5 linked regions of the Callithrix jacchus genome follow. The main gene of each other region encodes a partner of the protein of the gene in region 4 in a complex. Links are inferred from orthologs where the notes say so. Each region holds a gene or a part of one and is shown on either strand. Other genes may lie near its edges.

Evidence for each region. Proteins that work in one complex are often made in the same cells at the same time.
Region 1: the proteins of SFN (region 4) and PADI6 are in contact, whole or in part, in a crystal structure (PDB 4DAT), measured with the Homo sapiens proteins. The link is inferred for Callithrix jacchus from reciprocal best matches to the Homo sapiens genes SFN and PADI6. Residues at the interface, in NP_006133.1 of Homo sapiens: Lys49, Arg56, Arg60, Lys122, Arg129, Tyr130, Gly171, Leu174, Asn175, Val178, Tyr181, Glu182, Leu222, Asp225, Asn226, Leu229, Trp230; in NP_997304.3 of Homo sapiens: Phe443, Tyr444, Pro445, Ser446, Ala447, Glu448.
Region 2: the proteins of SFN (region 4) and FOXO1 are in contact, whole or in part, in a crystal structure (PDB 8A62), measured with the Homo sapiens proteins. The link is inferred for Callithrix jacchus from reciprocal best matches to the Homo sapiens genes SFN and FOXO1. Residues at the interface, in NP_006133.1 of Homo sapiens: Tyr19, Ser45, Lys49, Asn50, Arg56, Arg60, Lys122, Asp126, Arg129, Tyr130, Glu133, Gly171, Leu174, Asn175, Val178, Tyr181, Glu182, Leu218, Ile219, Leu222, Asp225, Asn226, Leu229, Trp230; in NP_002006.2 of Homo sapiens: Pro20, Arg21, Ser22, Cys23, Thr24, Trp25, Pro26, Leu27, Pro28, Arg29.
Region 3: the proteins of SFN (region 4) and MEFV are in contact, whole or in part, in a crystal structure (PDB 8C28), measured with the Homo sapiens proteins. The link is inferred for Callithrix jacchus from reciprocal best matches to the Homo sapiens genes SFN and MEFV. Residues at the interface, in NP_006133.1 of Homo sapiens: Glu14, Cys38, Asn42, Leu43, Ser45, Val46, Lys49, Arg56, Arg60, Glu115, Phe119, Lys122, Arg129, Tyr130, Pro167, Ile168, Gly171, Leu174, Asn175, Val178, Tyr181, Glu182, Asp215, Ile219, Leu222, Asn226, Leu229, Trp230; in NP_000234.1 of Homo sapiens: Arg205, Asn206, Ala207, Ser208, Ser209, Ala210, Gly211, Arg212, Leu213, Gln214, Gly215.
Region 5: the proteins of SFN (region 4) and EIF2AK2 are in contact, whole or in part, in a crystal structure (PDB 7OBK), measured with the Homo sapiens proteins. The link is inferred for Callithrix jacchus from reciprocal best matches to the Homo sapiens genes SFN and EIF2AK2. Residues at the interface, in NP_006133.1 of Homo sapiens: Lys49, Arg56, Lys122, Asp126, Arg129, Tyr130, Glu133, Gly171, Leu174, Asn175, Val178, Glu182, Leu222, Asp225, Asn226, Leu229, Trp230; in NP_001129123.1 of Homo sapiens: Asn546, Glu547, Arg548, His549, Thr550, Cys551.

The regions. Positions count from the first base shown.
Region 1 is NC_133508.1:54,253,190-54,257,420, forward strand, and holds the start of PADI6 (inactive protein-arginine deiminase type-6), read left to right. Parts: upstream 1-1,424; coding exon 1,425-1,478; intron 1,479-4,231. UniProt on the Homo sapiens protein: Structural constituent of cytoplasmic lattices, which plays a key role in early embryonic development. Cytoplasmic lattices consist in fibrous structures found in the cytoplasm of oocytes and preimplantation embryos.
Region 2 is NC_133506.1:159,848,048-159,852,283, reverse strand, and holds the start of FOXO1 (forkhead box protein O1), read left to right. Parts: upstream 1-1,429; 5' UTR 1,430-1,861; coding exon 1,862-2,488; intron 2,489-4,236. UniProt on the Homo sapiens protein: Transcription factor that is the main target of insulin signaling and regulates metabolic homeostasis in response to oxidative stress.
Region 3 is NC_133513.1:5,411,136-5,415,443, reverse strand, and holds the start of MEFV (pyrin), read left to right. Parts: upstream 1-1,501; 5' UTR 1,502-2,111; exon of another isoform or gene 2,112-2,164; intron 2,165-4,308. UniProt on the Homo sapiens protein: Involved in the regulation of innate immunity and the inflammatory response in response to IFNG/IFN-gamma.
Region 4 is NC_133508.1:63,511,710-63,514,953, forward strand, and holds SFN (14-3-3 protein sigma), read left to right. Parts: upstream 1-1,428; 5' UTR 1,429-1,491; coding exon 1,492-2,238; 3' UTR 2,239-2,741; downstream 2,742-3,244. UniProt on the Homo sapiens protein: Adapter protein implicated in the regulation of a large spectrum of both general and specialized signaling pathways. Binds to a large number of partners, usually by recognition of a phosphoserine or phosphothreonine motif.
Region 5 is NC_133515.1:77,831,450-77,835,456, forward strand, and holds the start of EIF2AK2 (interferon-induced, double-stranded RNA-activated protein kinase), read left to right. Parts: upstream 1-1,200; 5' UTR 1,201-1,297; intron 1,298-4,007.

The DNA.
Region 1 (4,231 bases), about 9.3 Mb from region 4:
CTCCTCTAGCTTCTGCCAGCATTCCTCAGCTAGTGGCTGCATCAATGCCAGTCTCTGCCTCGCTGGTCACGTGGCTTTCTTCTCTGTGTGTGTCAAATCTCCCTCTGTATCTCCCTTGTAAGGACACTTGTGATGATATTTGGAGCCCATCCAGACAGTCCAGGACAATTTCCCCATCCCAAGGTCTTCAATCACGTCTGCAAACAAAGACTCTTTCTGTATGAGATAACTTACAGAGTTGGAAGTAGAAGTTCAGCATCACAAAGAAAATGATCACTCAAAGAAATTCTCAGCAAGGCAACTTTACTTCTGCAGAAGGGTGCTGCCTATAAGCCTGTTTGCATGAGATCACCCGAACAAAGGAGAGGAGGGCTTTTTATCCCTAACACATGGGGCTTCTAGTACTGTGTCCAGCCTCCGTTGTCTGGAGCTGGACGGCACAGTCTAAGCTAAACCCCGATTGGCTAAAAGCTGAAAAGTTTCCTAAATAGATGAAGGCAACGGAGAACAAAGAAAGGGAGAAAGTGTTTGTGAAAAGACTAGGAAAGCAATAACATGTCCAAATAAGGAAAGGAGTATATGTTACAAGCTAGGACATGCCTGGGCATGTCCAGGCATGCCCACGCAGATCAGGAAACAAGTGGGTTAGGCCTTTAGAAATTAAAGAACAAGGGAACAGAATATGCCTTATTTGACTTAATTGCCTTCCTTTTTGAGGAAGAACTTCACTGTATCTATCATACAGGTTCCAAGGACCTGCTATCTCTTGGGTGCCATTATTCCACTCACTATGGGTTGGAGATTACCAGCTGCAAGCTGCAGCCGGCAGAAGGGGAAAGAAATAAGCCAGGCACCTCCCTTGCACAGCTCTAAGCCTTGCACCTGCATAACCTCATAGGAAAGGATGAAGATCTCCCTTTATAAAACCAAGTCTTGCATGGGAGCAAACTTTCCAACTCCTGAATTGAGAATGTTTGGTGACTGTTTTTTGCCTGGTTCCTGGAAACTGATTCTTAGATGGAGATTTACCTGCAGGAGGTTTATGGGGGGGTGCGGGGGAAGGTGTTCTCAGGAAGCCCACCTGGGAGGGAGTGTGGGGCTCAGATGCAGTTGCCACAAGGTTTCAGGCAATGCATGGGGTAGCTTGGGGGCTGGGGAAGGGCCTCAGAGTTGTCCTGCATTCAGGCGAGGCAACCTGGCCTCTGTTGCCCCACACTGGATGTGGCTGTCCTCAGAAGGGGACACAGTCAGGTGCTAGGCAGCTCCTAGGCACAGAAGGCAATTCCAGAAGAGAGACACCCACAGCAGCTGGGGGCGTGAGTGTCTCCTCCTAAAGGGGGTTGTGGCAGCTCCACACAGCACCCACCACAGCACCCACCACAGTGACCTCAAGTGATCATGGGACTTCTGATGGCTTAAGCGTGATGAGCAAACCTCACCGAGTTGCCGAGAGAGAACTTCGTGCATGGAATAAGCATGTGAGGAGTGCGGGGTCAATACCAAGTTACTTTATGACCATGTAACCCAGGCAGGTCCAGCCAATGCCACTTGGAGAGTCAAGCCCAGTAACAAGAGCAAAATATGGTAGAAAGTAACTTCATTTACCCCACCTAGCAATGGCAGAGTGGGTGGATTCACTTCAAAAGCAACCACTGTGGCTTTCTTGGGTGAAGGCAAAGGTTTAAGAAGGGAAACTCAGCTGGGCCTGGTGGTTCACGCCTGTAATCCCAGCACTTGGGGAGGCTGAGGTAAGCAGATCACCTGAGGTCAGGAGTTCGAGACCAGCCTGACCTACATGGTGAAACCCTGTCTCTACTAAAAATACAAAAACTAGCTGGCGTGGTGGTAGATGGCTGTAATCTCAACTATTTGGGAGACTGAGGCAAGCGAATTGCTTGAACCTGGAAGGCAGAGGTTGCAGTGAGCCGAGATCATGCCACTGCACTCCAGTTTAGGTGACAAAGCAAGACTCTGTCTCAAAAAAAAAAAAAAGGCTGGGCATGGTGGCACATGCCTGTAATCCCAGCTACTCAGGAGGCTGAGGCAGGAGAATTGCCTGAACCCAGGAGGCAGAAGTTGTGGTGAGCTGAGATTGTGCCATTGCACTCCAGCCCGGGTAACAAGAGTGAAACTCCGTCTCAAAAAAAAAAAAAAAGAGGGGAAACTTGGTATAGGAGGCATGCAGGAGTTGTACGGGTACAAGGTCTGTGTGTCATGTCTCCATGGCTAACTCGGGGTCTCAGCCCCCAGAGCACAGGCTGACGTCATCTCAGCAAGTCGCTGAGTTGCTGGCTGCCTGGAGGTAATCTCTTGAAATTTGCCGCTGGGCCTCTAGGCTTGGTCTGTCTGCCTCTAGGTTAGCCCCTGGAACTTCTTTTATTATTATTATTACTATTACTATTTAGAGACAGAGTGTCATTATGTTGCCCAGGCTGGTCTCAAACTCCTGGGTTCAAGGAATTCTTCTGTCTCAGCCTCCCAAAGTGCTGGGATTACAGGCATGAGTCACCACATCTGGCCTGGAACTTCTAAGTAAGCACATAATTAGATACTAGCACATAGTTAGATGAACGTGAAGGAGCTTTATGGTGGGAAAGGGAGGGACGTGGAGTCTATTTTAAGGTTAAGGGAAAAGGCTCCTGCCGTTTGCTTTAAGGCTACATCTTGAGACTAAAGAGAAAGAGAAAGGGAAAAAGAAGTTGTAAAGTGCATTTGAAGTTAAGCTGCTCAGTTACAATCATAAACCACCCTGGAAGCCCATTGGGTTATTATCTTTTTAGGGGGGAAACAAGGAGGTCATTTAGTCATTTGCTCCACAAGGATTTGTTGAGCACCTACTGTGTCTAAGGCTCTTTTGCTGGGGATTCAGTGGTGAATAGGAAGACCCTGGAGGGGAGCAGGACATGCTCTGGGTCTAAGTCCCTTTCATCTCTGTCCACCAGGCTGGGCGCGGAGCCTTCTTCACTGTGCTCAGACAGCCTGGCACAAGGTAGGGCTGTGCCAGAGTAGGGACGGTCAGAGCTTCCAGGCTGCTCTCCTCCAGACCCTAGAGCCTGGACTGGGCCTCAGCGACCCCTACCCAGTCAACCCATCTTCTCTCTCCAGGCGCCTCTGGCTGCTTGCGCACTAGGGTGGGTGAGCCCTTTGGGATGAGTCTCTCCGGAGCCTCTGCAAGCTGAGCACCTCCTGCCTATTTAATTTTGCCACTTTCAATCCAACCAGATGGGTGTTTTGGGTCTTGCTGACCAACCCCTGCCTCCAAGAGCAACTAAAACAGAGCCATCCTTGAGAGTTTTGTTGCCTGCTTAAAACCTGCAGGGAGGGGATTGTTCACTTCACCTTGCAAATTTAATCAGCCTAGCTGACCGAGCAGTCTTCACTCAGTACCTCATCTTCATCTCCTGTGCTGGGTATGCCCAGTGACTCTCAGAGCTTTGCAAAGACTGAAAACAAATGCTACATATATTACGGTACGACCCTATGGAAATACACAGCCATACAAAGGGGTAAGGCTGCTTTTTTACATACTGATATGAAGAACTTCTCTCCAGTATAACTGTGAAGTCAAAGGGGCAAGGTATGAGTCATTTGTAGAGCAAATGACTAAATGACCTCCTTGTCCTTCCCCAAAAAAGATAACCCAGTGGGCTTCCAGGGGCATCTTCACTGAACTGAAGAGTTTTTAATTGTGACCAAGCAGCTTAACTTCGAATGCATTTTACAACTTCCTTTGCTCTCCAGTGTCAAGATGTTACCTCGAAGAAAACTGCAGAAACCTTTTTCCCTTAACCTTAAAATAGGCTCCACGTTCCTCCCTTTCCCACCGTAAAGCTCCTTCAAATTTATCTGTGTGCGAGTATCTGAGGAGGAGGAGAAGGATCATGCATAACATTTACGTGGAAAGACATAAAAGAAACTGGTAACACTGTCACTGCCTCCACCTGCAGGTGAGTAAGAGACAGGGCAGGAGTGAGCCCTATTCCAGAATAAGCACGACCCAGACTGGGCAACATAGCAAGACCCCATCTCTACAGAAAAATGTAAAACCATTAGCTGGACATGGTGGTGTACATCTGTAGTCCCAGCTACTCAGGAGGCTGAGTCAGGAGAATCACTTGAGCCTGGGAGGTCGAGGCTGCAGTGAGCCATGATTGTGCCACTTTACTCCAGCCTGGGTGACAGAGTGAAACCTTGTCTCAAAAAAAAAAAGAAGAAGAAAAAGCACAACCCA
Region 2 (4,236 bases), on a different chromosome or scaffold from region 4:
TAAGAGTTGGAAGCTGTCCTTTTGGGCAAGATATTAAAAACCTTACTGTCCATCTTCTATTCTGAGTGGTCCCATCCCTCTAAAAGGAAATGCCTTCCATATTCTTCCTAAAAAAGCAAAGGCATAACAAAACAAAACTGGAAAACTGTTTCTTCTGCTCCCTGAGACACAAGGGCCATTATCTTCCTACCTTTGGCCCCACTGATCCTTGACAGGATGTCCTGGACCTGCAGCCCAGATGAGGAAAGATGGGGTGTGGGTGGGGGTTTGACTGACGCACACAGCAAGTAGCCTCAAGAACTTGGGGGTGGGGCAGGCTGCGCCCCAAGGCTTTGGTCCTATCCCCCGCCCCCCCCCGCCGTTTTTACTTAACACCCGATCACTTCCGTTGTAAATATAAAATAACAAACAGTTAAATTTAATTAGGGGTAGGTAGTAAAGTGTCTTGGTTCTCGATAACTGCGTTCCTAAGCCCTTCGCTGCGGGCCCTGAACTCAGTGGACGAAGCTGGAAGTTCCCGCCCAGGGGAAGAAGTTCCCACGGAGGGCAGGCGGTTGCGGGTGCCTTTGGATCCCTGTCTGCACTGAGACCGGAGTACCTCCTCCGGGCGCCGGAGTCCCAGTTCCTCACGTTTAGCCCTTTAAAAAAGGTCAAGGATACAGTAAATCCGGCTGGGGGCTGCTCGGCTGGGCGACGCGTCCGCAGCTAGACAGAAAGGCACAGGCTGAGCCCGGGGGTGCGGACAGGTGGGCGCGGGGCGCGGAGAAGGCACCCTAGGCGCGGACTCCACCGCGGGGGGCCGCGGCGCCTGGGGCGGGGGGCGCGTGCCGCCCGTGCGGGGGCCGGAGGACTTGACAGATCGCAGCGAAAGAAAACATTCAACCAAAACAAAACCCAGCGATTCCCCACGTTGCTCAGCAAAGACTTCGTGGGTGGAGCCAGGAGGGAGCTACTGGGTAGAATTCTGCGCGGCCGCCTCCGCCCGTCCACCCCGCGCCCCCGGCCCCCGGCCCTGCCCGCTCGCGGGACTCGGCCCGCAGCCGAGGTCAGGGCGTAGCGAGCGCCTCGTCCCACCCGGGCTTCCAGAGTACTCGGCTCTGCAGCTCCGTAGTAAACAAAGTGTCGCCGCCACCTCCACGCTGGTTTGCTTCCTAGCAATCAAAACACTGAGAAGGCGAGAGAATCACAGAAACACTCGAGAATTACCAGAAAATAACAGAGATCCAAAAAAAATAAAAAAGGTGTGTGAAAGAGAAAAACACCCCGCTACCCCCACCAGCCCACTGCCGCCTCCCGGCGGAAAACCGGGCCCCGCCCAGCCCGGAGCGCACTGGCTGCCCGGGCGGCGGTGCCGCGTGCCCATTGGCTGCGCGAACTGTCGGTCAGGGGCGGGCCGGCGCGCGCGTCGCCGCGGGCGGGGGGCGGCGGCAGATCCCGTAAGTCGGGCGGCCTCGTAGTTGCTGCAGCCGCCGCCGCCGCCGCCGCCACATTCAACAGGCAGCAGCGCAGCGGGCGCGCCGCCGGGCAAAGCGAGCGGCCGCGGCGTCCGTCCGTCCTTCCGTCCGCGGCCCTGTCAGCGGGAGCGCGGCGCAGGCTGTGCCCCGGCTCGGCGGCTCCGGCCCGCCGTCCAGTCCGTGCGGCAGACCCCGAGGAGCCTGGATGTGGATGGCCCCGCGAAGTTAAGTTCTGGGCTCGCGCCTGCACCCCGCCGCGCCTTCCTCCCAGTGTCCGTCCGCTCGGCGCACCGGCTTCGTCCCCCCAAATCCCGGACCGTCTCTTCGCGCCCCCTCGCCCTCTGCCCCCGGTGCTGCGCTCTTCCCCTCTCGGCTCTCTCGCGGCTGGGGGAGGGGCGGGGGTCACCATGGCCGAAGCGCCCCAGGTGGTGGAGATCGACCCGGACTTCGAGCCGCTGCCCCGGCCGCGCTCGTGCACCTGGCCGCTGCCCAGGCCGGAGTTTAGCCAGTCCAGTTCGGCCACCTCCAGCCCGGCGCCGTCGGGCGGCGCGGCTGCCAATCCCGACGCCGCGGCGGGCCTGCCCTCGGCCTCGGCGGCCGCTGTCAGCGCTGAGTTCATGAGCAACCTGAGCCTGCTGGAGGAGAACGAGGACTTCCCGCAGGCGCCCGGCTCCGTGGCGGCGGCGGTGGCGGCGGCTGCCGTGGCCGCCGCCGGGGGACTGTGCGGGGACTTCCAGGGCCCGGAGGCGGGCTGCCTGCACCCAGCGCCGCCGCAGCCCCCGCCGCCCGGGCCGCTGCCGCAGCACCCACCAGTGCCCCCCGCCGCCGCCGGGCCGCTCGCGGGACAGCCGCGCAAGAGCAGCTCGTCCCGCCGCAACGCGTGGGGCAACCTGTCCTACGCTGACCTCATCACCAAGGCCATCGAGAGTTCGGCGGAGAAGCGGCTCACGCTGTCGCAGATCTACGAGTGGATGGTCAAGAGCGTGCCCTACTTCAAGGATAAGGGTGACAGCAACAGCTCCGCGGGCTGGAAGGTGAGCGGCCTCGGCGCGCGGCCGGACCTTGGGGGCGCGGTGGGGCAGGCGAGGGCGCAGCTGTGCAGGTTTGCTCGGCCCGAGGGTGCGGGGCAGGAGGGCAGCGCGTGCCTAGGAGGGCGGGCGCGAATCGGTGGTCGCAGTGGGCTCGCCCGGGTCCGTCCGGGACCGCAGTAGGTGTGCGCGCGCGCCAGAGTCCGCGTGGGACGCGGACAGGGGTTCGTTGGGGAACTAAGTAAAGAACGTGCGTCAAGAAGTGGACGTCAGAGCGGCCGAAAAGTTTGCCAGTGAAAGGAGAAAGGGGTTCGCTGGGAGCGGCACCCCCACGGCCCGCGCTGACTGCTTCGGCTGCCCCTTCCCTCCTTGACCTCCGCGGGGCGAGGGCGGGTCCTCTCCCGCCGCGCCGCGAGGCTGTTTCCGCCGGGCGCGGCGGGGGAGGGCACGGAAAGGGTCCCCGGAGCCTCCCTGCCCCGGGACGGGGCTGCAGGTGGAGGGGACTGGCAGAGCGCGATCGGCTGGGGACGGTGTAAGTCCGGCCACGCAGTTTCGGGAGGCGGTGCGCATTTTGCTTTGTTTTGGTTTTCTCCGGAGTGGCCTCGAGTTCAGGGGGCCGGGCGTCCCGATCCCGAGGTGGCGCCTCCGACACGTGCGAAGGGGCGGCCACCGCCTGCGGAGCGCCGGCGCCCGGCCGCGCGGGGCGAGCTAAAGTTCAAGTGTGACCCTCGGCGGGGGCGGGCGCGGGCGGTGACGAGGGAGGGGCTCTGGGCGCAGGAAGCTAGTGCCTTTAAAGGGCCAGCGCGTCCGGGTCGGGCGCCTTGGGGCCCGCGCTTCCCCATGGGGGAAGCGCCCGAATCTGGTCTTGCCCCTGGTACGAGGCTTTTAGTTAGAAACACAGAGGCTGCCCTGGGGTGCCGGGGGCTGGGATGTGTGCGTCTTTTCCTGCCTTGCTCTACCCTATTCTTGAGCGGGGAGGTCCAGATGGGGGAGCTGGGGGCCAGACGAGGGGCTTTGCGACCAGTGTTTTGACGGAGTCGGAGTGGCGGTGCGCGTTGAGGGAGCGGAGCCTGGAAGGAGGATTTTTGCCTTTCAGAACGTGGCCAGGAGGCACTTCAGCGTGGGGGCAGGCACTTACCGACTCCGAGGAGGGCCTCGGCTAGGTCCGGGGAGGCTTCCCGGGGGCGAGGTCCAGTCGCCGCGCGGCCTCCCCAAGCTGACAGTTTCTCACTGTCACCGGTGGCAGAACTGCTGTAAAGGCTGACTAGTTGAGTAAACACTGTTTTTTGAGACGGAGTCTCGCTCTGTCGCCAGGCTGGAGTGCAGTGGTGCGATCTTGGCTCACTGCAACCTCCGACTCCCTGGTTCACGCGATTCTCTGCCTCAGCCTTCCGAGTAGCCGGGATTACAGGCAGGAACCACCACGCCCAGCTAATTTTTGTATTTTTAGTAGAGACGGCGTTTTACCATGTTGACCAGAATGGTCTCGATCTCCTGACTTCGTGATCCGCCCACCTCGGCCTCCCAAAATGTTGGGGATAACAGGCGTGAGCCACTGCGCCCGGCCGAGCTAAACACCTTTTAAAACAAACTTTCCTCGCCTCTCTTGTCGACTGTATAGCATAATAAAGATTGGTGTTTGCTGCGCAGTTGTTAAACCAAGGTTATTTTACATAGTGTCGTCCCTGTGGTTAAAGCGTGTCAAAAAGGTTAAGTTACTCACACCGTATTGAAGCTCCTGGAGGAGTTCAAGA
Region 3 (4,308 bases), on a different chromosome or scaffold from region 4:
AACTCCTACCCTCAATTCTACTCTCTAGAGGTAGCCATATTTCTTTCTTTTTCTTTTTTTTTTTTTTTTTTTAAGACGGGGTTTCATCATGTTGGTCAGGCTGGTCTTGAACTCCCGACCTCAGGTGATCCGCTCGCCTTGGCCTCCAAAGTGCTTGGATTACAGGCGTGAGCCACCATGCCCGGCCAGCCATATTTATTTCTTCCGTTTCTCTCCAGATAAATTTTAACAATTTTTTTTTTTGTTATTTACAAACATGGGATCATACTATCTGCACTGTACTGCAATTGTGCTTTTTCCATTGAATAATACATAGACCATCTTTGCACATTAGCACACAAATGCACTGCGCTGCTTTTAGTGGATGCAGTGTAGTCCATGGAATGGATTTACCAAAACTTATTCAGCCAATGCCCTGGTGACAGACATTTAAGGGATTTATAGTTTCTGACTAACTGGCAAGTGTGGCAGGTGGGGAAGTGTTCTAGGATTATCACCATGATAGGTGTACGAAAGTGCCCCTGAGACTACCATGGAGGTGAATACACCCTCCTTATGCTTACCTGAAGACAAGTGTCTTGATGGGTAGAACGTCAATAGAATGTAGGACCCAGAAAAACAGACCATCTAGCTGGTTTTCCAAGATTTTTGTGGGCTGCAATACACTTGGATCAAAGGAAATCCTTCTTGAAGGTTCAATACCTAAAACAGTTAAAAAGTCGTGGCTGGTCTGGCATTAGCTGGGGGAGGTGGGGAGGAAGGAAGAGGGCTATGCCTATGAAGCTCCTCAAATAAGAAACCAGATGCATGTGCTTTCTCTGAGCCAAACCATTACCTCTCTGGCTCATATTATGTTAGTAGATTTCTCAAAAGGAAAAGCCACAAGTTTCAGAAACTGTACTCTAGGGTTCTGAGGGGGGCAGAGAGTTTGAGAATCCTTGCTCTAGCCTGCCTCTGCTGATTGAGAAAACGGTAGTGCTGCTGTTGGGCTGAAATAGCTGTTCCTTTCACCGCTTTTGTCATGACTAGTAACTACCGTTTATCTGTTCTCGGCCTCCTTGGAACAGGGGTCTTGCCTGACACGTGCACACTCGCACGTGGCACAGTAAGTGGGACACAGTAGGCACTCGGAAAGTGTTTGCTGTAAACATGAATGAAAAAGGGCGACAGGCTAATAAAGGGTGGAAGGCTTTTGGGGGTCAGCACAGCCCCGGGACGTCCCATTCTCGTGGGCCGCCAGACGCCAGGAAACACGCCGACTCCACTTCACGGCGCCGCGCCCGGGATACCAGAGACTACATCGACTCATTCCCGACATAGGGCGCGCGGCAACTCCGGCGAAAAGCAGCGATAGGCTGTCGCGGCTGCCAATCAGACCAACGGCGCCGCGACTCGGAGACCTCTGGGAGACACGGGTCCCTGTCCATCCCCTCTCCAACTGGCTCGCGTGCTCGCGGGGTACTCTGGGAGATGTGTTTCTAGGAGCGGTCTGCGCAAGTGCATGCGTGAGGGCGGGGCTTCGGGGGTCGGTCTGGCGCGTCCGTCGCGCCTTCTATGAGCCCCTCGGCAGAAGCCGCCGTGGGGCGCCTCCCTCCCTTCTTCAGTCAGCCCGGGACCCCGGCGGGAATGAGGCGCAGGGAGTGTCTCGCTTGACCCCAGCGCGTCCTGGCGCCCTGCGGACACTTCCTCTTCATCCTCGGTCGCTCTTCCCGCATGTCTCCTTCCCGAAGCCCCTTCTCCTCGGGATGCCGGGGCAGAGACCCCCCCCCCGGAGTGGCGCCGCCCTCCGCTCTGGCGTGGGGTTCGCGGGGCGTCGGCGGGAGGGGTCCTGGAGGGAACGGCTGTGCGGGGGCGGGACCCCCTCCTCCCCACAGACGCGCCCCTGACAGTCGTGCCATGGCTCTGCGGACGTCCGAGGACGCTACTGGCGGTTCCTCCCGCCGTGCCCGGCACTGTTACCTCCCCGAATTGCCGGAACAACCCACTTGGTAGGAAACGGAAACTGAGAAAAATCGACTAACTTGCCCACGTCACACGGCCCCAGATATTTGAGTCTCGTATTTCCCACCATTTCGTGGAGCTTCCAGACTCGCCAACAGTTGCAAAACAAGGTGATGAGTGGGAATGGCATAAGCACGGGGCGGGGAGAGGAAGTGGGCAGCACCTTAGAGGGCAGGATTCAACAAACGGAACCTCAAAGGGGGCAGTGTCAGTGCAGCTTCGTAGTTGGTGAGAAACGAAGGGCTGGGCACGGTGGCTCAGGCCTGTAATCCCAGCATTTTGGGAGGCCGAGGCGGGCGGATCACGAGGTCATCAGTTTGAGACCAGCCTCACCAACAAACATGGTGAAACCCCGTCTCTACTAAAAATATAAAAATTATCCAGGTGTGGTGCTGTGCACCTGTAATCCCAGCTACTTGGGAGGCTGAGTCAGGAGAATCTCTTGAACCTGGGAGGTGGAGGTTGCAGTGAGCCGAGATCATGCCACTGCACTCTGCTTGGGCAGCTGAGTGAGACTGTCTCAAAAAAAAATAATAATAATAACAAAATAAAATATGAAACAAATTCCCTGCACTCGCTAACCCTATTATTCTGCTATTTTTTTCTCCAACTTCCTTATGACTTCCGGATACATTATGTATTTGTTTATATCAGTTCACACTTTCCTATAAGAATGTAGGCTCAGGCCAGGTACAGTGAACCACACCTGTAATCCCAGCACTTTGGGACGCTGAGACAGGTGGATCACCTGAGGTCAGGAGTTTGAGACCAGCCTGGCCAACATGGTGATACCCTATCTCTAATAAACTAGCCAGGCATGGGGGTGGGTGTCTGTAATCCCAGCTACTCAGGAGGCTGAGGCAGAAGAATCTCTTGAGCCTGAGAGGTGGAGTTGCAGTAAGCCGAGACAGTGCCACTGCACTCCAGCCTGGGCAACAGAGCGAGACTTGTATTAAAAAAAAAAAAAAAAAAAAAAAGGCTCTTCTGAGTGGGCCAAACGCAGTGGTTCACGCCTGTAATCCCAGCACTTTGGGAGGCCAAAGCAGGCAGATCATTCGAGGCCAGGAGTACCAAACCAACATGGTGAAACCCCGTTTCTACTAAAAATACAAAAATTAGGCAGGCTTTGTGGTTGTGGGCGCCTGTAATCCCAGCTACTCAGGAGGCTGAGGCAGGAGAATTGCCTGAACCCAGGAGGTGGAGGTTGCGGTGAGCCGAGATCGTGCCATTGCACTCCAGCCTGGGTAACAAGAGCGAAACTCCGTCTCAAAAAAAAAATCGTTAACCCTTTAGGTTTCTGAATTTTTTATTTCTCAAGGACTGTGCTGTACAAAACATAATCTCAGCACTGAAGTGACAGCCATCACTGTGATCAGGGGCCAGCTGACAGACAAGCCATGGATGACCAAGGGCCTTTCTTGCCAGCTTGCTCACCCCAGAGAGGGCTGTGGAGTGATTCTAAGCAAAGTGTCTTAGAATATAGTTTGGTGCCTGGAAATTCACTTAAAATTTGAATGATTAGCCTCTCAAAGGCTCAGATCTCTCCCTTAAAAGTAAATATACCGGTGGTGTGGAGGAGTTTGTGTCACAGTGGGATTCATTATTCTCCACTCCAAATCAACATGGGAAATCTTCCACAACCTTCCAACAGCTCTGTCCATTATGTCAACAACAGACCTATTACTCCATCTCAAAAATAAATAAATAAATAAATAAAAACACTTAAATGACATTACAAGGGCGATAATTGTATTTTCACTGTAATAAATTACTGGACCCCCCCACAAACAAAAGCTTTGTGAGCCTTTCTTGCCCTAGAAACTCCCAAGTGGCATCAAAACATTGTCTTCTAGAAGTCCTGCCTTAGAACTGCTTCTGTTGCAAAAACTGTCACCGCGATTGCAAAATGTCCTGATTTAAACCGGAAAGTCCCGTTTTCTGCCCAATTCTGTCATGGGGTTTTGGTCTCAGCTCCGAGAAGTTTTCTGACCAGTCAAGATGGGATCACACAGCACCCATAGCGTCACTACAGAGTCTCATCCTTTCTCCATCTGGGAGACTGCCCGGGAGGAGCTGGTCCCAGTGATACCCCAGTCAACACCCTTCTTCTGGCTCAGCCTAAAAATTCCAAAAGTCTGCTGTCTATGCCATCAATGTGCATTTCGGTTCACTCCCTTTTTTTTTCCTTGAGACTGGGTGTTTTGCTGTGTCACCCAGGCTGGAGTGCAGTGGTGCAATCACAGCTCATTGCAGCCTCAACCTAGGCTCAAGCAATCTTCCCGCCTCAGCCTCCTGAGCAGCAGGGAC
Region 4 (3,244 bases):
TACAAAAAATTAGCTGGGCATGGTGGTGTGCCTGTAATCCCAGCTCCTCGGGAGGCTGGGGCAGAAGAATTGCTTGAACTGGGAGGGGTGGAGGTTGCAGGGAGCCAAGATTTTGCCACCGCACTCCAGCCTGGGCGACAGAGCGAGACTCCTTCTCAAAAAAAAAGAGAAGGAACAGGGAAACTTCTGAGACAGGCTGGGGGAGGCATCACGTAGCTGGGATTGCTGCCCCATAAAACAGAATGATATGTGTCACTGCCACCTACCTTCCTCAGTCCTCTCCCTCCCCAGGTTGCTAGCGTCCCCCCTGGGGGATCAAACTGGACTGCTTCCCAGCCTCAGACAAGAGGGCAGTCTGAGTCAGGCAGGAAAGTGGGACAGCTGGGGAGCTGGACCCCACCCTCTGGAAGCCCCGCTGGTACCTGATGGCATATGGCTTGGAGAGGGCAGGTGACCTGGCATGGAGGGCCAGAGGGTAAGTCCTCAAACAAGTGGCAACAGGCCACCAACTTGAAAGGGAAAATTGTGTAGTGATGGGAAATGTGTTCAACAAACCTACTGGGTGACTAATTACAAAGGCTGGGCTGGAGCGTCAGAGGCTGCTTGTTAAACACTTTATTAAGTGGCACTCCGAAAGCTGCCACCTGTGCATTCTGGGAGCTCAGAGGGGACCCATCTGGGGGATGGAACTGTCTTCAGGTAGACTGAGGAAGCAGCCTGGATCTCATTTCCAAACACAGCCTGGAGCTCATAGGTCAGAGGCCTCATGGGAGAAAATCTAAAGGAGGTAGGGTGCAGAAAAGAGTTTCAGGGAATTGGTGGCTATGTGACTTTGAGCAAATCTCACCCCTCTCTGAAACTTAGTGTACCCATCTCTATGGTCCTGTGTATGTCACAGAGACATGGAGGGGATTAAAGTTGATCATGAATATAAAAGTGCTTGAGAAACTGTATAGCCCTACCTATACATGAATTATTCTCCCCTGAACCAAGCGGGGGAAGTTACCTCTCCGGATTAGGAACCCCATCCTCCTGAACCTTTATGAGCTCTATCAAGGCTGAAGCAGCCAGGGGCTAAAGCCATCCTTAGCCCCTGGAAGGGCACTGTGAAAGAGGATCTGATATGAGAAGCCAGGCAGCTTCCTGATGTGGGCAGTCATGTAATGCCAGTCCTGAACAAGAGGGGGCAGCGTGGAGCCCAGAAAGGCACCTGTGCAGGTGGGGCCAACGCCCAGATTTCTCCTGCTGACTGTCCTGATGACTCACTCCCACATCCCAACCCTTTTACCTTTCATGCAGAGCCGGAAAGGGTGTGGGGAGGAGAGGAGAGGGAGGCAGGTCTTGGGCCCTGGTCCTGCCCCCTGCTCCTCCCCACCCTTCTCAGGGCCTGGCCACCCAGCCAAAAGGCAGGCCGAAAGCAGGAGAGGCACAGAGTCCGGGATTGGTCCCAGGCAGCAGTTACCCGCCGCCCTCCTGTCTGTTCCCAGAGCCATGGAGAGAGCCAGTCTGATCCAGAAGGCCAAGCTGGCAGAGCAGGCCGAACGCTATGAGGACATGGCAGCCTTCATGAAGGGCGCCGTGGAGAAGGGCGAGGAGCTCTCCTGCGAAGAGCGAAACCTGCTCTCTGTGGCCTACAAGAACGTGGTGGGTGGCCAGAGGGCTGCCTGGAGGGTCCTGTCCAGCATTGAGCAGAAAAGCAATGAGGAGGGCTCGGAGGAGAAGGGCCCCGAGGTGCATGAGTACCGAGAGAAGGTGGAGACTGAGCTCCGGGGCGTGTGCGACACTGTGCTGGGCCTGCTGGACAGACACCTCATCCAGGAGTCTGGGGACGCCGAGAGCCGGGTCTTCTACCTGAAGATGAAGGGCGACTACTACCGCTACCTGGCTGAGGTGGCCACCGGTGACGACAAGAAGCGCATCATTGACTCGGCCCGGTCAGCCTACCAGGAGGCCATGGACATCAGCAAGAAGGAGATGCCGCCCACCAACCCCATCCGCCTGGGCCTGGCCCTGAACTTTTCCGTCTTCCACTACGAGATCGCCAACAGCCCCGAGGAGGCCATCTCGCTGGCCAAGACCACCTTCGACGAGGCCATGGCTGATCTGCACACCCTCAGCGAGGACTCCTACAAAGACAGCACCCTCATCATGCAGCTGCTGCGAGACAACCTGACCCTGTGGACGGCTGACAACGCCGGGGAAGAGGGGGGCGAGGCGCCCCAGGAGCCCCAGAGCTGAGTGTTGCCCGCCACCAGCCGGCCCTGCCCTGCCCCCTCCAGTACCCCACCCTGCCAAGAGGACTAGTATGGGGTGAGAGGCCCCACCCTTCTCCCCCAGGCGCTGTTCTTGCTCCAAAAGGTTCCATGGAAAGGGACTGGCAGAGCCGAGGCCACCTGGGGCTGGGGATCCCACTCTTCTCGCAGCTGTTGAGCACACCTAATCACTGGTCATGCCCCACCCCTGCTCTCTGCACCCGCTTCCTGCCGACCCCACGACCAGGCTACTTCTCCCCGATCTTGCCTCCCTCCTGCCCCTGCTGCCTGATGTTAGGAATTGAGGAGTAAGTGTCCCGCCTTGTGCCTGAGAACTGCACAGTGGTAGGGGCTAGAGATTGTGTGTGTGTGTGTGTGTGTGTGTGTGTGTGTGTGCGTGCGCTTGCCAGTGCAAGATCGAGATTGAGGGAAAGCATGTCGGCTGGGTGTGATCATGTTTCCTCTCAATAAAGTTCCCCTGTAACACTCCTCCTGTCTCTTCCAGTTCTTGGCGATGGGCTGGGAGTGGGACTGGAATCTGATTTAGAGACCCTGAACTTGGACCTGAGTTAGGACCCTGACCTCCCTGGGTGCTCAGTGACCCGCACGCAAGACTTTGAGTCCAGGTGAGGCCGGGGTCCAGCTCTGTCCTTCAGGGAGGCCCCACACTGGACGGGCCCGGAAGGGGCCGGTGAACCCACAGGAGGCGCCAAGGCTCCTCTGCCGGGCTGAGGGGAGGTGAGTGGGAGCCGCGAGGTTGACGAGCTCAGGTGGGGCGGGGCAGGAAACAGTGAAGTCTCCGGCGTGAGATCTAAGGACAGCGCCGCAGTAGCGAGCGGCACTGAGCACCCGATTTGCAAGCAGGTCACAGTCTCATCACGGGCTCCGATCTCAGCGGAGGGGAATACCATCTGAGTGAGGCAGAGGTATAGCGCAACCCTAAAACCCCAGATCTCAGGAGAGAGTCGTGTCCCACAGAGTTCGGAGATGCA
Region 5 (4,007 bases), on a different chromosome or scaffold from region 4:
TAGAGAAGGGAGGCTGGAGTGGATGCTTGCCTAGGCATAATTTAATTATTTATTTATTTTGAGATGGAGTCTCACTCTGTTACCTAGGCTGGAGTGCAGTGGCACAATCTCAGCTCACTACAACCTCCGCCTCCCAGGTTCAAGCAATTCTCCCTGCCTCAGCCTCTGGAGTAGCTGGGATTACAGACACATGCCACCACCACACCCAGCTAATTTTTGTATTTCTTAGTAGCAGTGGGGTTTGCCATGTTGGCCAGGCCGGTCTTGAATTTCTGATCTCAGGTGATCCACCCACCTAGGCCTCCCAAAGTGCTGGGATTACAGGTATGAGCCACCGCACCCAGCCTAGGCATAATATTTAATGTATATTTGAGATCCGTCTTGGGACCATCTCCCTCTCTTATCCCAGCTAAGATGTTGAGAGTACAGACTCCTGGTTATAATTCTAACTCCACTAGCTGCTTACTAGCTGTGTTTATCTAACTTCTCTGGGCCTCAATACTCTTTAGTCGCTATGCCAATGACTGTGGGACTCTGTGTGACTCCGGGAGTGTGTCCATCAGGTGAGTAGGATTTCTATAAATCGAGGACCATTGGTGCTTGACCATGGTAGGAAACTTCCTGAGGTACTGTAGGGAGCAGGTGGCTCTCTTTAACTGCAGGACTGACCCGCGGGTGTTTTTACCGCGGCTGGCGAGTGTCTGCTCAGGAATAAATGGATGGGTGAGGCCGAGTGAAGGAGATTACGCCCCCGCCCCCGGGCTTCCCATCCCCAGCCTTGTAAAGGGGAGGGGACAGTGGTGTGGCTAGCGGGAAGGAGTGCTTTGGTGTTTACAGGCCCAGACTTGAACTGAATCCTGGCTTTGCGACTTACGAGCGGCAGGATCCTGGGCGAGTTCATTTACTCAGTTCCTCTTTGTAAAACGGAGCTGGTAATACCCATCTTCCCAACCCTACCCCAGATGTTTGTGTTGAAGAGTAAGCGGAACCCTTGATTCCAGAACCTAGTGCAGCTAGCGCCACTTGCCCCAGGAGCCGAGGGGGCGGGGGTTGGGGATGCCGGGTTCTGGCCGCGCAGAGGCTGCACGTGGGCGCCAAGCCCCCCCGCCGGTGCCTCCCGCGCGCACTCGGGATCCAGCGCCAATTTACACCAATCCCGGAGCAGAGGACGGCTTGTGCGTGAGGGGGCCGGGCGGCTTCAGAGAAGGCGGAGTCCGAGCGGAAAGCGAAACCGAGAGCTAGCTCTCCAGAAGCCGAGGGTCTCCGGCTGACAGCGGTGGCAGTGGCAGCGGCGCAGGTGAGCCGGGCCGTGGGCAGCCGAGGGAACGCGGGGGGCGGGGGATGGGGATGGGGGCGCGGCGGGCCAGGGGCTGCGGGCCCAGCCGGGGCAGGACCCGCCGATCCCGCGTCCCCAGCTCCGAACGCCGACGCTGATCCGCAGTCCCTGGCCCGGGTTGTGTCAGCAGTGGGAGCGCAGTCCCAGGCCCACAGCCCGGGTGCAGCCCTCTCCGAATCCAGGAAAAGGATCGTAGAGTTGGGTGGGGACTCAAAGCCATTTCCGTCCCGCAAAACATTTTTATCAGTGCAAGTAACATATTTCCCAGGCAGCAGTCGGGGGGCGGAGTCTAGTGGAAGACCAATAGGCCTAGTGGCTTGACACATGGAAATTATGGAGGCCTGAAATACTCATAGACTGCGTAAACAATCTCTGGCTAAAAATCTCTTGCATGGAGAGTTGCAGTAGTTTCCCAACTGCAGTTCCTATTCCCACTCGTCTCCTCACCCCCAGCCTCCACCCACTACCTCTTCTCCACACCTCAGCAACCGTAGTGTTCCTTTAAGTAAGAACCAGATGCTCCCCTGCTCAGACCTTCCCCATAGCTTTCCTGTCTCATCAGAATCCTATAAATGTTTATTAAGACTCACAGGCAAGGCCTCTTGCACCTCTACTCCGGCCACACTGGCTTCCTTGCTGCTCCTGGTGCAAAGCCAAGCATCCTCCCGCCTCTAAGCCTTTGCATTGCCTGTTTCTTCTTCCTGGAAAGCTTTTCCTCCAGACACCTGCATGGGGAAAGCCCTCCCTTATCCTGGACTGCTTCCCATGCCAGCTTATCAGAGCAGCCTTCCCCAAACAGCTTGCATATACAAGAAACCCCACTCTGCCCTCACTGCTCCCCCTTCCACTACCTCGGTTTTCAACATAGTGCTGATCACCCTCTGACATTTTCTTGTGGGTTGTTCCTCCACTGGTAATCTCACAATTACCTATAGCAGGGTTCACTGGTATAGCCCCGCACCTAGTACATAATAGGTGCTCATTAAATATTTGTTAAATGAATGGTAATTTGTAAACTCCCTTTTGAATTCCAAAATAATGAGGCTTCCTATTGCCCATGTTTCATTCTTTCCTACCTTCCCTCCCTTCCTCTTTTCTTTCTTTTCTCTTTCTCTTCATTTTCTTTCTTTTCTCCTTCCCTCTCTCTTCCTCTCTCTCTTTCTCCCTTTCCCTTTCCTTCCTTCCCTTTCTTTCCTCTACCCTTCCCCTTCTCCCTCTCCCCTCCCCTCCCCTTCCCTTGCCTCCCATCCTCTCCCCTTCCCTCCCCTCTCTTTTCAAGATGGAATCTCACTCTGTCACCCAGGCTCCAGTACAATGGGGTGATCTTGGCTCACTGCAACCTCTGCCTCCTGGGTTCAAGAAATTCTCCTGCCTCAGCCTCCTGAGCAGCTGGGATTACAGGCACACACTACCATGCCAAGCTAATTTTTATATTTTTAGTAGAGAACAGGGTTTCACCACATGGGCTAGATCACATGGGTAGATCACCATGAGGCGATCTACCTGCCTCGGCCTCCCAAATTGCTGGGATTACAGGCATGAACCACTGCCCCTGGCCCCATGTTTTCCTTAGTACTAAAAATGCTTTGCCAGATAGAAGCTAAAAGACAGGCTCTCTGCTGTCACTTAGGAATTTAGAATGTTGGGCAAATAATGCTGTTGTTTTTCAGTTTGCTTATTTGAACCTGGAGATCCCAAATACTTGACTATTTATTTATTTATTTATTTAAGACAGAGTCTCACTCTGTTACCTAGGCTGGAGTGCAGTGGTGTGATCTCAGCTCACTGCAACCTCCATCACCCAGGTTCAAGTGATTCTCCTGCCTCAGCCACCCAAGTAGCTGGGATTACAGGCATGCACTACCATACCTGGCTAATTTTTGTATTTTTAGTAGAGATGGGGTTTCACCATGTTGGCCAGGCTGGTCTCAGACTCCGAATCTCTGGTGATCTGCCTGCCTTGGCCTCCCAAAGTGCTGGGATTACAGGCATGAGCCACCGTGCCCAGCCGTTTATTCATTTATTATTCAGATACTAGTTGAAGGCATGATCTATGTGAATCAATGTGCTGGCCCTAGATGGAGACTGTAATCTGCTAGAAGCGAGTGAAGAAATAGCCAAAGTAATTTCTGGGCATTAGTAAGATGGACAAATATTATTTTTTAGTGATTATGATAGAGATTTCTTCCAGATGAGTAAATAAGATGTAGAATCTGCTCCCCAAAGAGCTTACTAATTACTTTAAAAAGCAGTCAGGGCTGTGATGAGGGTTGGGTAAGGTGGAATGACAGGTCCATGGAGGGCTACTAGCTGAGTCTCCAGGATCGAAGGAGGATGTGTTGATCTTGATAGATGAGTGGAGATTGCTGGGTCCAGAGAGAATGTAGATATTACAGTATAAATGTAGAGAAAAACAGGTGATACATTCTGGAGAGGGTATCTGGAGAGATTTTGGTCCTCATTCATTCATTGTGGAGCCTGGTCCTTTACTTCTAGTAATTCATGCTCTATTTTGGAAAATAGTTAAACAAGCAGTTTTAATAAAGAGCATGCGCATTATGAAAGAGCCTGTGAAGGAGTGTCTGGGATTTTGAGCTGAAATCTGTAGGAAGTAGAAATTGACTGGGCCAAGACAGCAGAAGGAGTGGAGTCAAGAGCATTTTAGGAGGGA